4 linked regions of the Oryzias latipes genome follow. The protein of the gene in region 1 purifies or fractionates together with the protein of each later gene. This does not show direct contact. Links are inferred from orthologs where the notes say so. Each region holds a gene or a part of one and is shown on either strand. Other genes may lie near its edges.

The links. The genes of interacting proteins can lie anywhere in the genome.
Region 2: the proteins of ppme1 (region 1) and ppp4c purify together in Homo sapiens (affinity purification with mass spectrometry; 3 studies listed by BioGRID and IntAct, with this or other methods). This does not show direct contact. The link is inferred for Oryzias latipes from reciprocal best matches to the Homo sapiens genes PPME1 and PPP4C.
Region 3: the proteins of ppme1 (region 1) and ppp2cb purify together in Homo sapiens (affinity purification with mass spectrometry; 6 studies listed by BioGRID and IntAct, counting the BioPlex papers as one, with this or other methods). This does not show direct contact. The link is inferred for Oryzias latipes from reciprocal best matches to the Homo sapiens genes PPME1 and PPP2CB.
Region 4: the proteins of ppme1 (region 1) and serine/threonine-protein phosphatase 2A 55 kDa regulatory subunit B alpha isoform purify together in Homo sapiens (affinity purification with mass spectrometry; 3 studies listed by BioGRID and IntAct, with this or other methods). This does not show direct contact. The link is inferred for Oryzias latipes from reciprocal best matches to the Homo sapiens genes PPME1 and PPP2R2A.

The regions. Positions count from the first base shown.
Region 1 is NC_019872.2:16,425,278-16,429,420, forward strand, and holds the start of ppme1 (protein phosphatase methylesterase 1), read left to right. Parts: upstream 1-1,340; 5' UTR 1,341-1,523; coding exon 1,524-1,615; intron 1,616-2,270; coding exon 2,271-2,364; intron 2,365-2,915; coding exon 2,916-3,008; intron 3,009-3,147; coding exon 3,148-3,205; intron 3,206-3,618; coding exon 3,619-3,670; intron 3,671-4,143. UniProt on the Homo sapiens protein: Demethylates proteins that have been reversibly carboxymethylated. Demethylates PPP2CB (in vitro) and PPP2CA. Binding to PPP2CA displaces the manganese ion and inactivates the enzyme.
Region 2 is NC_019866.2:25,208,667-25,210,959, reverse strand, and holds the end of ppp4c (serine/threonine-protein phosphatase 4 catalytic subunit), read left to right. Parts: intron 1-1,093; coding exon 1,094-1,223; 3' UTR 1,224-1,773; downstream 1,774-2,293. UniProt on the Homo sapiens protein: Protein phosphatase that is involved in many processes such as microtubule organization at centrosomes, maturation of spliceosomal snRNPs, apoptosis, DNA repair, tumor necrosis factor (TNF)-alpha signaling, activation of c-Jun N-terminal kinase MAPK8, regulation of histone acetylation, DNA damage checkpoint signaling, NF-kappa-B activation and cell migration.
Region 3 is NC_019867.2:193,806-198,013, forward strand, and holds the end of ppp2cb (serine/threonine-protein phosphatase 2A catalytic subunit beta isoform), read left to right. Parts: intron 1-763; coding exon 764-934; intron 935-1,585; coding exon 1,586-1,759; intron 1,760-1,836; coding exon 1,837-1,926; intron 1,927-2,673; coding exon 2,674-2,835; intron 2,836-2,924; coding exon 2,925-3,043; intron 3,044-3,155; coding exon 3,156-3,228; 3' UTR 3,229-3,688; downstream 3,689-4,208.
Region 4 is NC_019870.2:24,063,029-24,066,766, reverse strand, and holds the end of serine/threonine-protein phosphatase 2A 55 kDa regulatory subunit B alpha isoform, read left to right. Parts: intron 1-1,520; coding exon 1,521-1,612; intron 1,613-1,704; coding exon 1,705-1,984; 3' UTR 1,985-3,218; downstream 3,219-3,738. Other genes in the region: BCL2/adenovirus E1B 19 kDa protein-interacting protein 3-like, read left to right, coding at 3,597-3,732. UniProt on the Homo sapiens protein: Substrate-recognition subunit of protein phosphatase 2A (PP2A) that plays a key role in cell cycle by controlling mitosis entry and exit. Involved in chromosome clustering during late mitosis by mediating dephosphorylation of MKI67.

The sequences.
Region 1 (4,143 bases):
AATAGTTTATATGGGTCAATGGCAAACACCTTTATGTAATGTCACGTGACACTTTCTAAAGTTTAAAAGTAACATCTCCTAAGAAAACTTCTTTCTGTATACCCCCACACCTTTTTTTCACATTTAAAATTTGGTCTATGTTATAAATTCTAAGGTATCAATGTAATAACTTCACTACAATAACATACTGACGTGTTTATTGCAAACACAGACAAAGAATTCAACTATCTTGCAGTTTTTGGTGATTTATGGCTCAATGAGTTCCAAGCAGCTTTATGTTCTCCAGATAGAGCTGCCGTTCTGCACATTTATTTACTTTACATGCAGTCCAAGACAAGGTTTGTTAAAAGAACAATTTATTTTTACAATCATTCAATTCAAATAATAATTTGTGGTTGGTGATGTGATTCATAGTCGATATTGGTTAATTTTAAACGGTCCGATTTGATCTAAGTCAATGGCCTAAAATGGATCCAGGGAATCTTTAACAAAAAACTTAACCAGTGTGACTGAGTGATAAATACCTGGATACTAAACAGTGCAGGTGAAGTTTTCCAGATTCCTTGTATTTCTTGCAAGATAATCAAGTGTAAATTAAATATAAGAACAAACAAACAAGTAAACAAGAATTTAAGGTAAATCCATTCACATTTTAGTTTCCTGAAGTTCAGCCCACTATTGTTACTCCACATCAAAATAATACAAACAGAACCTCATTAGAACATTCTATCATACTGTACGGTCATATGTCTTTCCTAATTTCAAAGTGGAATGATGGACTGTATTTCTGCATTTTCCAACGTTGATTAAAATGGCATTATTTCATTTTGAAACAATGTTATGATGCTACAGGTGATTTTATTTGATTCAGTTAACAACTTCCCTTAACATATCGATCTGGTTGGATTGTAGGAGTATAAATCGATTAATAGTTACATCCCTAAATATTATCAGCTCAGTAAAGAGTGAGAGAAGGAAAGACAAAAGTTCAATTTTTGTGATTCAGAAAAAAAATACTGTTAAATATGTTGTGAAAATGCGTATAAACAAATTGTGACACATCACATCATCACTGTAATGAGTGAGGGACTAGCGTTTAATATTAACATGCCTTACAGTGTAAAAGGGAGGGAGCAGAAGAGAAAAGACTTTTCAGCCGATTACCAGTCTAATGGACGACAACTTGTTGTTTTTAAGACACGATTTTAATCATTGAGAAAAATGAATATTTTATAAAGCACAGAAAAAGCTTTGATGATTACTTGTTCATTCGTTGGAGATATGAATGTACTTTTTTTACCGCTAGGTGGCAGCACTTTCAAAAAATGAGTAGAAAACCACCTCAAAACTACGCAGAACAAGAAGAAAGACGGAAAATACAAAGAAGCCGTTAGCCTGTATGCTATAGCGATTCATCAAATGTTTGGTTAACGTCAGTACAAGTGTCAGAAACTATCTTATGCAGCAAAAGAAAGGGAAGGCTATATTAGACATCTCTTGACAGAGCGCTCTTTCCTCACAGCATGGAGAAACAGTTGCATTTAAACCTGCTGGCCTCCAGACCTCCAATGGCTGGTCCTGGTGGATTTCAGTCTGGCTCTAAAATCAAGATGGGGTGAGAAGCTAACAGTTCATAAAACGTTAAAGGGTTTTTTTATATCTACATTTGCGTGTTATTCTTCATACCTCTTGTCAAAGCCATACTGTGAACTTTTGTCTGAATAATAGCTCGCCGAAAAGCCAGACACAGCTGAAGGAAAACCAATATTTAGTTAGCATTTAGGCTAGCCTAGTTACCGCTTATAGAGTAGGCACGACCCGCCTTCTGCAGCTGCTGCAGAGGTTTTTTTATACATATAACTCCTTTGAGTTAACAAAGTCTAGCTGATGCTGTGTAGAGCTTATCGTTTTCTTTAAGAAAAAAATCAGAATATATATACGTACTTGTTATGTTCTGATCCAGGAGACCCCCGTTACGCCCACCAAAGGATAAACAAAATCTAGTTTACAATACAGTTTTACTGATTTAATCCAAAAGTGTAATTACATTCTTATGAAGATGACTCTTTCATTAACTTCGTTAAAGTGGTTCGTTTTCTGCATAAGTCGTGCCTCTAAAGGGGGCAGCTGTGTGTCAGCCAGCAGAATAGAAACAGTAATTTACTAATGGGTAATATGGAGTCAAACCACAGTTTGGAGGTACAGATAGTATGTATATTGTACATAATGATTTCCCCCTCATTTTTATTTGTATTTATATTTTTTTATAGACCTGGCCGGAAGAAAGATTTTACTCCACTGCTTTGGAGTCAGTACTTTGAAACCATGGAGGATGTTGAAGTGGAAAATGAAAATGGCAAAGATATATCCTTCCCAAAATCTCTGTTTCACAAGAATGCCGTGACGATTTTTTGTTGTTTTGATTTACGCATATCATGGAATTAAGATTCAAATGCTTTTCAAATTCTTCGTCTAGGCCAGGGATCTGCAACCTTAAGCAGTAAAGGAGCCGTTTGGGCCTGTTTCTTGCTGATCAAAATCTCATTGGAATCACAAAGTCTTATTTTGCCCTTTAGGAAAAGTTGATACTACTTTATTTTTGGCTTGAATATAGAGCAAAAATATAAAGTGAGAGTAGCTTTTTCTCAAAGTGTGAAATTTTTTCTTTTTCTTTCTTACTTTTGACAGAAGCTTGTATGACTTCCTTTCAAAATTAGACTTCCTGTGCCGAACAGGGTCATCCTATTGCAACTAATGTTCTCCTAAAAAGGTTTTAAACAACGCAACAGCATCTTTTTTGTGCAACATGAGGCTCCGGAGCCACATTGCAGACTCCTGGTCTAGGTTTTAGTTTTGCTTAGCGTTTTAATGTAGTGCTTACAGCCTTGCGTTTTGTTTTCTTGACCGCACAACACATTTTCAGAATTTACTGCAGTGGTTCACTTGGTCCTGTGCTGTTGCTGCTCCATGGAGGAGGCCATTCTGCACTTTCTTGGGCAGTGTTTACTGTGGGTATCATTACCACTGCATAATCCCCTATTCTTAAACAGTAATCGTACACCAATATAACGAGTAATAATAACAATATGTGTGTTGCAAGACTGCCCAGAATACAGATTGAAATGACCTCTGTATATGTCTCTACAGTCAGTCATATCCAACATGATTACCTGTAGGGTGGTTGCCATGGACTTGCGAGCTCATGGTAAGGAAAATACTCTGTAGGCTTTGGAACAAATGACTTTTTCCCATTTTTTAAATGTAAAATAATTTCTGTAGAACTGACATTTTTCTGCAAAAATGATGGAATAAGTTTTCCAATCATTACTCTTTAAAAAAAAAAAGAAAACTAATCTGAGATTGTCACGGTAAGATGAGAAAGCTTGGGAATCCTTTCAGGTGATTTTTAACTAACAATTTTATCCACCCTGTAGTATATTCTCCAGAAAGACTAACATTCTCATTCTCTGCAATACATTGTGAGGAATTTTAACTTTTTTTTTTTTTTTTACTCTACACAAATGTGTTTATATATAAATTTAGAACCAATGCTTTGCTTTTTTTTTTTTGTTTGGTAAGCGTAACAAGAAATTCTGAAACTCGTCTTTAAACCTGCAGGTGACACCAAAGTAAAAAATCCTGAAGACTTGTCGGCAGATACCATGGCAAAGTAAGATACCGTTTTGTAAATACTATCTCTTTTTGTCTGAAGTGGGTTTATAGTTTGTTTGTTTGTTTGTTTATTGCTGGCTTATGTCCAAGAAATATATGAAATCCTATAAACTGGCTATATATGGAGTGATTAAACTACCAAAAAAAAAAGATACGTTTTGGGTTTTTTTATGCAATTGTATTTTTCTTTCAGAGTTAGTAATGTACCAAGTTAATCTGTTTTTCTTGTAATTATGTATTTCTTGTAAACTAGTAAATGAAAAAGGGAACCAATTGTTGCCACCTGCTAGACTGCTGCTGATTTGGAGTAATATTGTTGGACACTGTCAAGAAAATGAAAGATTTTCAAAATGAAATAAAGTGTAAGGAATTAAGTACAGAAATGCAAAAGCAAAACAACAACACAATTTTTGTGTATGTCGTCTTTATTTTAAAAAATCCTTTTTGTAGCATTTATCTTTTTTGACGCTA
Region 2 (2,293 bases), on another chromosome or scaffold:
TGGCGTTTCTTCATTTTGAAGAGCTCTACAACAGCATCAATGAGCAGCACACGCCTCCATGTGTGCCTCATGAAACCATTCACTCTCCCAGTGAGGAGCAGCAGCTGCCCCCAACTGTGGCAGGAGAAGCCGCCGCCCCTCTGGAACCAGTGGGAGGGGCTTGTAGCAGGGGATGGTGGAAGAATGGATAATAGTCAATTCCTCCTACATTCCCTGCTTTTCTTACTTTTAAAAAAAACTGTATATACATTTTTTTGCACGGTGATTTTGATCAAATCGATTAATTGATCTGAATTGATCCAATCTTAGTAGATCAATAATAGATCCATTAAAGTAGAAATCGATCTTTTATGCTCATTTTTTTCCGGGGATCTAATGTATAACATCAGTAAAGCCAAAGTCTGCTAGCTTGATGCTAACGTATAATGGAATTTCCCATAGGACGGCTAATGCTAACTCTTGGACGACCCAAACATACATTACTGACTCAATGAGCAGCTTTATAGACTCACAGGCAGGAATTTTCCAAACTCTTTTACAGAAACATTTTTGAAAGTAACCATTTGTGGTCTAAAGCTCCATTTTTTGCTCCAATCTTCTGGAATAAAGTGTAATGCTATAAGGAGAGCTCCACCTAGTGGCCAGACGGAAACGCCCTCCAGCAGAGACAGACCATAATGATCTGGTTGTTCAGTTAGAGCTTCTCTGTTGGAGAAAGCATGGAACGCCGTGTGCTGTTAACCATCTCACTGCTTTATTGTGTCAGCTCTCCTGCTGCACTTTAGCTCAGATTGACATCCTGAGGATTTTGTCTAAATAGGTTTATGTTGAGTTCAGAGAGTCATTAGTGTTTATAGAAAAGCCTCAATGAGCAAATGTTTTAATGTTATACATTCGTGTCTGTTTACATACATATTTTGAAATATTTATATACTTTTCATAAAACATGTTTTGTGGGCTTTTATCTTGTTTTCTGATCTGAAAAGTTCTGAGATCCGCTTTAAACCTTGTTTGTGCTGAAGACGGCGTCCTTCTCGCCTAGCGGTTTGAGGGTCTGTGCTGGTTTAACCTCGCCGTGTCTCCTTGCACTCAGGTGTGGAAACGTTGCGGCCATCTTGGAGCTGGATGAGCATCTACAGCGGGAGTTCATCATATTTGAAGCAGCGCCACAGGAGACCAGAGGCATCCCCTCCAAGAAGCCCGTCGCCGACTATTTCCTGTAGAGCTCCAGGCCAGCAGCCATAAGGCGCCGCCATTCTAGTTCCAGTTCTCCCCGGCGCCTCCGGCCTCCTGCTGCTCCCCGACAGCGGCGTCCGTCTGAACTCAAAGCAGTCCGGAGGCCTGCTGGCTCCTGTGGAGCGGCCTGGATGTGGCCTCCATCTGTCCTGCTCTGTAGACACAACTTCCAGCCCGACTCCGCCTCTCTGCTCCTCTTTTTTTTATTCAGACCATTTCTTTTAGTTTCAGTTGGAAAACCGTAACTTCTCTCTTTGTTCAAAGATACGCAGCTGTGCAAAGTTTTATGATTTTAATGAATTCCTTTAATGCATATTATGTTGTCTCTGTACAGTTATTGCTGCAAGATTCCAGTGACCCCCCCCCCCCCCCATATGTCACATGACTCGCTATCTACCATTCAGAACGCTGCTGTGAATAAACTCCTGAAGGACGACTCAGCAGGAAGCTCTTCTCACATCCGTTTCCACTCTTCCTTCCTTTTAACCCGTCTGTCGATTTTGATATTGTGAGAATAAAGTTTTGTACCAATGCTGACCCTTTGCTGATTGATTTACTCTCCTGAAGCTCCGCCCATGTCGCCTGAACGCTGACCCGCTCCGTCCTCCAGGGTCGTTCCCACACGACCTCCTGGAACCCCGTGGTGGGATGGAGGTTCTGTTCTTTCCATGGAGTCATTGCCATGTTTTTGCTTCTGAATAAGGTTCCGGATGGTTCCTCTGGGCCGCTGCACGGCTCGTTTTACCTGAAACCTCTGGTTTCACCCACCAGAACTTCTGGCATCTTTGGACCCGCTTCTGTTAAACCGCTGGGCCATTTTCACCATCGTTCATGTGGAATTCAGTTCCCAGGGTGTAATTTGATCATGCATTTTCTAAATCAATAAATTCAATGCAAAAAACAATCTTAGTTAAACAATAAAATGTTGCATTTTGGATTGTCACATGTTTTTGGTAACATACTTTAGATAAAAAGGCTTTTATATTGAATTTAGTTGAGCATTTTAAAAACGACTGAATATTCAATACAAAGAGGAAATTTACATTTTTCATTTACT
Region 3 (4,208 bases), on another chromosome or scaffold:
TACCATGCTATGATACTAAATGCTACCATGCTATATGCTACCATGCTATGATACTAAATGCTACCATGCTATGATACTAAATGCTACCATGCTATAATGCTAAATGCTACCATGCTATAATGCTAAATGCTACCATGCTATGATACTAAATGCTACCATGGTATGATGCTAAATGCTACCATGCTATGATACTAAATGCTACCATGCTATGATACTAAATGCTACCATGCTATGATACTAAATGCTACCATGCTATGATACTAAATGCTACCATGCTATGATACTAAATGCTACCATGCTATGATACTAAATGCTACCATGCTATATGCTACCATGCTATGATACTAAATGCTACCATGCTATGATGCTAAATGCTACCATGCTATGATACTAAATGCTACCATGTTATGATACTAAATGCTACCATGCTATGATGCTAAATGCTACCATGCTATGATACTAAATGCTACCATGCTAAATGCTACCATGCTATGACGCTAAATGTTACCGTGCTATGACACTAAATGCTACCGTGCTATGATAATAAATGCTACCATGCTAAATGCTACCATGCTATGATGCTAAATGCTACCATGCTACATGCTACCCTGCAATGATGCTAAATGCTACCATGCTATGCTAACGAGCTGTTCCGTGTGTCATCTACATGTGATCACGGTTTAGTCAGACTTTGTTTTCACGTAGCGGATTTTAATACATGACGGATAAATGCAACATGACTTGATGATGACGGTCTCCTCAGGTGCGATGCCCGGTGACCGTGTGCGGCGACGTTCACGGTCAGTTCCATGACCTGATGGAGCTCTTTAAGATCGGAGGGAAGTCTCCAGACACCAACTACCTGTTCATGGGAGACTACGTGGACAGGGGCTACTACTCTGTGGAGACGGTCACGCTGCTCGTCACGTTAAAGGTAACCCTCGTTAGCAGACCTTCCTGCTGAGAGTGGGAGCGCCTGAGGAGGTGGGACTGCATCTGATTGTTGTCAGCAGTCTTCTGTGGTCACACCTGCACAACTGTCAGGTTTCTGCCAAATGGTAATATGGGAGGCCGTACCTGCAGTTGGAAGAGGTGTGTTTGTGTGGCAGAGCGGCAGCGGCAGTGTTGTGTGTTCCTTTCTGTGTGTTTCTATGTTTCCGTGTGTGTTTGTGTTTCTGTGTTCGTTTCAAGGTTTCCGTGTTTCTATGTGTCCGTGTGTGTCTGTGTGTTTGTGTTTTCTCTGCGAGTTGGCGGCTGTTTTAAGAAGAAATGTTCTTAAAGGTTACCTGTTTTTAATCTTAATGGTTGTCCGTTTTGGACCGCAGACACTTCTCCTGAATAAGGAAATTAATCTTGAAGTCGGTCTTTTCAGTGGCTGTAACTCCGCCCACCTCCTCAAAGTTTGCTGTAAAGGCGGAGTCAGAGGTCCCGCCTCTGCGTGCAGCTTTGTGGTTGTCGTTGGAGGACTTTAGTCTCGTTAACCAGATCGCAGAGGTCTTTCCTCGGTTTCTCCGGAGGTGTGCGATGTGTGATGCTGTGGAACCTGCTGGCAGCTGGCAGTGTTCATGTGAGGTTTCATGCGCAGGTTCGATTCCCAGAGAGGATCACTATACTGCGAGGGAACCACGAGTCCCGTCAGATCACACAGGTCTACGGATTCTATGACGAGTGTCTGCGGAAATACGGCAACGCCAACGTCTGGAAGTACTTCACAGACCTGTTTGACTACCTGCCGCTCACTGCGCTGGTGGACGGGCAGGTGAGAGCCGCTACACCCAGACCGTCAGGCCATGGAAGCAGGAGCTCTACAGACACTGTCCTTTGCTGTCCTTTCAGATTTTCTGTCTCCACGGCGGCCTGTCTCCCTCCATAGACACTCTGGACCACATACGAGCTCTGGACCGCCTGCAGGAGGTCCCGCATGAGGTACACGCTCCTCACTGGACGTCCCGCTCAAGTGTTTTGGGCCTTACGTCATTCCAATCCTTTGATTTGGAGTTTGTGCCGATACAGAGTCCTGATCCAAAACTTTTGTGAAGTACTTTAAAAAAAAACAAAAAAAAAAACAAATTAATGAACAGATCCATTTTTTCTTTTATTCTCCTCCTTTTATCATTCAACACTTCTACGATTAAGTAAATCCTGCAGCTATCTAGTACGAATAGTTAACTATAAACTAGTCAAAACTGCTGATAATCATGGCAGAAAGTTTGGGGACTGAAGCTTTAGTATCCTCAGAATTGTTGAACATTTTTAATCGGAACAGGAAAAAATCTCAGCGCCGTTTTCAATCCTGATGGTTTTTCTCTTAAAATCCTTTCGTAGGTCGTTGTTTACGTGACACTTGCCGTCAGTTGAAAACATTTTATTAAGAGTCATTGACCCGGAACTCGAAGCTGTGAAAAATTGTGGTGATTCGTTGATGAAATGCAGACTTCTAGTAGAGTATTTATCTGGAATAATAAGCTTGAAATGATGGTATAATCGGGTTAGGGTTATGTCCGATCGGGAGACACGTCTGATTTCAATCCAGTCTGCAACCGATCGATCAACTCCGGTTTGCGATCACGTGGTCGGAGCGGGACAGCCCCGACAGCAGCGTCCTCCTCTGCTGCAGAGCAGAAGGTAAGAGCTGCACAGGTTGGTGTTAATCTGACTCCCCCCACCCCCCAGGGCCCCATGTGCGACCTGCTGTGGTCTGACCCGGATGACCGCGGTGGGTGGGGCATCTCTCCCAGAGGTGCTGGCTACACTTTTGGACAGGACATTTCTGAAACCTTCAACCACGCCAACGGCCTAACTCTGGTGTCCCGCGCCCATCAGCTGGTCATGGAGGTGAGACTCCTCATACACACACACACACCCCCGGCTGTTAGGATGGATGGGCCGTTTGTGATCATGCACCCCCACCCCTCTGTCTGCAGGGCTACAACTGGGGTCACGACAAGAACGTGGTGACCATCTTCAGCGCCCCCAACTACTGCTATCGCTGCGGCAACCAGGCAGCCATCATGGAACTGGACGACACCCTGAAGTACTCTTTGTAAGTCCCACCCCCCCGGGTGTCTCTGGATGGAACATTCCTAGAGAGTCCAATCATCATTTCATCCAACGTGTCTCTGAATCGCACCTTTACTTTCATCCTCTCTCTACAGCCTGCAGTTTGACCCCGCCCCCCGCCGCGGCGAGCCTCATGTGACTAGACGCACTCCTGACTACTTCCTGTGAATGTCCTATTGTCCCCCATAAGTCATTCACCAAGCCCCGCCCCTGCCCCACCCCTCTCATTTTGAATGGAGAAGATGCATTGAGCAGATTCAACAGAGCGGTGATGTCACTAAAGCTGAGCTTCAGCCGCATGTTAACCTTCATCTTCTCCATCTGACATGTTTGAAAACAGGAGAATAAAAAAGTACCGACGTGGACCAAATGTGCCATATTTTGATCCTTTTCCAACAACTGTTTTTGTTTTTTAGAGCTCACTATATCCCCGCCCGTCTCCACCTTCATCCATCTGTGCTTTCTTTCTGTTGCCAGATCAGTTTAAAGGAAACGTAGGAGAGTTTGCTTCAGTAGAACAGCTCTGAGTTTCAGCTGTTAAGGCTGCAGCCAGCAGTCATCTCTACTATATTACTGTAATTTCAATGAAGACAACAGACATGTGAAATAAAATGTCCTATTGACAAACCGCTGCTGTCCGTCTGCTCTGTGCCAAACAAACTGACAAACCTGGATGACATCACAGGGGTTCACTGACACCTGGATGACATCACAGGGGTTCACTGACACCTGGATGACATCACAGGGGTTCACTGACACCTGGATGACATCACAGGGGTTCACTGACACCTGGATGACATCACAGGGATTCACTGACACCTGGATGACATCACAGGGATTCACTGACACCTGGATGACATCACAGGGATTCACTAGCTGAATTTACATGGACAAAAGTAATCGGAAAGAACGCCTGATCGGAAGAAAAATGCGTCATGTAAACACGCCGTTCGTAATACTCTGACTTGTTCGGATCAAAATTTCTTTCCGATCGAGATAGGTGGGTTATGCCGATTGTGGATTCGATCGTTGTTCATGTAAACAGTTCATTCCGATCGTGTGTCACTACTGCTCTGGTTTGACGTCATACATAGATGGTGTTTTGCTCCATAGAAGCTTTGGACCGACCTGCTGCGTAGATTTATATG
Region 4 (3,738 bases), on another chromosome or scaffold:
GCACAACAATAAAACAAAACGGTCTTGTCATAATTTTAGTATTCCACCTCAGGAGCTCCTCCTTAAATTCACTTACAAATTCTCACATCGGTATGTCCGCTCATGTGTGAAGTATGATTGTTGTATGTAATTCCAGTGTTGAATTAAATACCATGATGGCCACTAGGAGACGCTGTTTTGAAGAAAGCACTGATGACTCCAGGCTTGTAAAGCTTCTTAGATTCTTTAAATTCATACATTTACAACAAACTCCGGTTGACTCAATGCTTGTTATTCCATAACAAAAAACAAAGATACAAAAATGTAAAAGTTTTTTTCCATCAACCAAAACCTGTTAGTCTGCACTGCGCTTCTTCACCTCAGAGATCAGTCACTCCGACTCCAGATATCGTCTGCATCCACAACAAAACCAAATCCAAACAACTGAAAGTTGATCGTTCAGGTGTGTCCATACTGAAAGTAAATCCAAAACAAAAAGGCGTTGTCAGTTTTTCTGCAAACTCCAGCGATGGACTCGCCTTTTGTCTTCAGTCTGCTGTCGGCTCTCCAAGGCAGAGGTCCCCAAACGTTTTCAGGCCACGGATCAGTTTAATGTTGGACAATATTTTTACAGGCGTCAAATTATCAATTTTTTTATCTTTTTCAGTTTCCCTCAACTTTTGAGTGTAAAGTTGTATTCATTCTTTGTAAAATATCTGCAACTGTTTTCTGCTTCATCTGTGCAATAGATTTCATGTTGAAACCATTCAACATGAACAGATTTTCCCTTGACCACAACCGTCAAAGTGGAGCCTCGTCAGACTTTTGGGGTGCAACGGATTTAAAAAAAAAAAAACAGTCCCTTAAACTAGTATTTTCACACTATATTTGTAAACGTGAATCCCCTGTTTGAGCAATGTTAGACAGTTGCTGAATATTCTGCATTATTATTAACATTATGGTCTGTGGGAGCAACTGTCACAATAAATCCACATGTTGAGAAAAGACTCCTGTCTGTTAGATGCAGATATCTTTTATTTTGAAGTCAAGGGCTCTTCTGTTTCTTCACTGGATCTTTTTTGCCTAAACAAACTTTTCAAATAAGTTTATTTATTATTCTTTTTTTTTTTTGCTGGCTTGGGGGTCTCAATTTAGCCGCTTTAAGAAAGTGACGGATGGATTTTCAACATGTGACCGAGCGACTTGACGCGCGTCAAGACTGAGTTGGATGTGGTTGAGAGTCCAGTAGTTTTTCAATAAGTCAGATTCAGAATCAGATTGTAAATAAAAGGGGTAAAAAATGAAGTTTATGGGATGTTTTGCCTCAGTGGCCCGGTACCAATTGTTCCCAATAGCCTGGGATGGGGGAACACTGCACTGAAATACAACTTCATCATTTGGACCAGGGCTTTACATTATCTTGGCTAAAATATGAATTTGTCCCAGATTTTCTCTTGATGTTTGTTCTTTTGTGACAACATGGTGGTGCCGTTGAGTTTTGGCTTTGCATTGATGTCACACCTCCCTCTTTACCTGCACAGGTTCATGAATACCTGAGGAGCAAGCTGTGCTCGCTCTATGAGAACGACTGCATCTTCGACAAGTTTGAGTGCTGTTGGAACGGCAACGACAGGTACCAGCACAGCATAGAATGGTTTTGTATTTAGACCTGGATTGTTCTTGTTGAGATCTCACCTGCATTTGTTGTCACCCCCCCTTTTCCAGCGTGGTCATGACCGGCTCGTACAACAACTTCTTCCGGATGTTTGACCGCAGCCAGCGGCGGGATGTCATGCTGGAAGCATCCCGTGAAAACAGCAAGCCCATGCAGGTCCTAAAACCGCGGAAGGTCTGCGCCGGAGGCAAACGCAAGAAGGATGAAATCAGTGTGGATAGCTTGGACTTCAATAAAAAAATCCTGCACACTGCTTGGCACCCCCAGGACAACATCATCGCTGTGGCGACGACTAACAACCTCTACATATTCCAAGACAAAGTAAACTAAGACGAAGGCAGGTTTGTGAGAGATGAGGTGGAGAGATTCTCATCTTTACCACTGGCAGCCTCACCCAGGATGACCTGTGGGGGTGCAGACTCCCAGCATCCCTCTGTCACCTCCAGGTGACCAGACTTTGCCACTTTGTTTTGGATGTGGACAGAGGAAGACGCTCTGGCCCATCATCAGTCAGTCTGGGGGGTGTAGTCACATCTGCCTTGTTATTTAAGTGATGTGCCAATTTTTTTTTTTTTTTCTTCTCTTCAATGTTTTTGTTTTGTTCAGACAATTTGCTTCTCCACTGTGGGCAATAGTTTCATTTCTGACTACAGGCACGCTCATTTTTATACCTTCCCCTAAATGGTTCTGTAGTAAAACAAAGAAATAAACACTTTAGTGTGTCCCTTTATTGCCCTGTGCCATTGTGATGTTTATTTTTCTAAGGAAATGTGGAGTTTTTGACTCTATGCGAATACTGTTTTAGTCTGTTCCTTTGAGGATCCAGCAGTTAACAGTTGTGTCCTCCTTTTTTTTTTAAATTTCCTTTCACTTCCTGGTTGTTCCTACTCCACAGCATCACCTGACGGTTGATTTTAAATACAGTGAGTCCAGACTGGTCCACTGAGGTTCTCGTCCTGCTCACTGTTTCTGTGCCTCAGGCTTCGGGGTGGGCGACGTTCCCAAGCTCCACAAGAGATTTATTTTGTTTTGAGGTTGGCTCTGTCTTAAAATCATTGTGGTTTAGTTCTGATTTTGTTGTGTGTGTTCAACAATAGGCAGGTATGAGAGAGAGCCTATACAAAGATAACTATGATTGTCATATTTATATACAAAGAAAAGAGAATTTGACTAAGAGGCTTTCCGTCCCTCTTTGGGATATTAAGCTGACCTTAAACAGATCTTTTGTTTTGGGGGGGGGTTTGTCTTCCCATAGTGAACCATTTCTCTAAAGCAGCCCTTCTGAACAGGAACTTGGAATTTGACACTGGACTTTTATTGCTGCACCAACGGAAGTACTTGGATATTTGTGTTGAATGACTGCAACTTAAAGAGAAAACGTTATTTGAGGCATTAAGGCGTCTTCAGTGAGGATGAACTGCAGTCGCTGCTGCTTTGTGATGGCACTCGGTTCTCCAGAACACCACATTTACCTGTAAACTAGGGATATTGATGCCTCTGATAATGTGTAATTATAATTTTACTGACGGAAGAGGAATAAAAAAATAAAGGAACTACTTTTGCATCCTTTTGATTGTTTTGATTCCTCAGATCTAACCTATATTGGGTGATACTTCATTTACTTTGAGAATTAAGGGGAATTTGTTTATTTAATTCTATATCTAATGATGTAAGGTGAGCTGTTACCTATATTTCGTAAAGACTCCATCAGTATGAAAAAAGTGTTACGTAAGTACGCCCCCCCCCCCCCCCCTCCGATTGAGTATTTAACGAACGATGTTACGTCATCACCTAGCCGTGAGCAGGCGTGCCCTCGCTGCTGCTGCTGCTGCTGCTGCTGGTGGGAAAACAAACGGCAGCGGGACTTCAGATCGGCTGCTCCCTCCTTCTGCCGAGACCCGGACTAGAGCAGCGGACTCTTGTAGTGTCCACGTCCGGATGTATGCCGAACAGGGCACGAGCGCTTTGCACTGATCCGAGTCCTGAATGCAACCCACCCTGCTCAACACAAACCACCATGTCTGACGCTGCTAACACTGCCTCCACAGACAACAACGGCGGGGACTCGGGGCTAAACGGTAAAC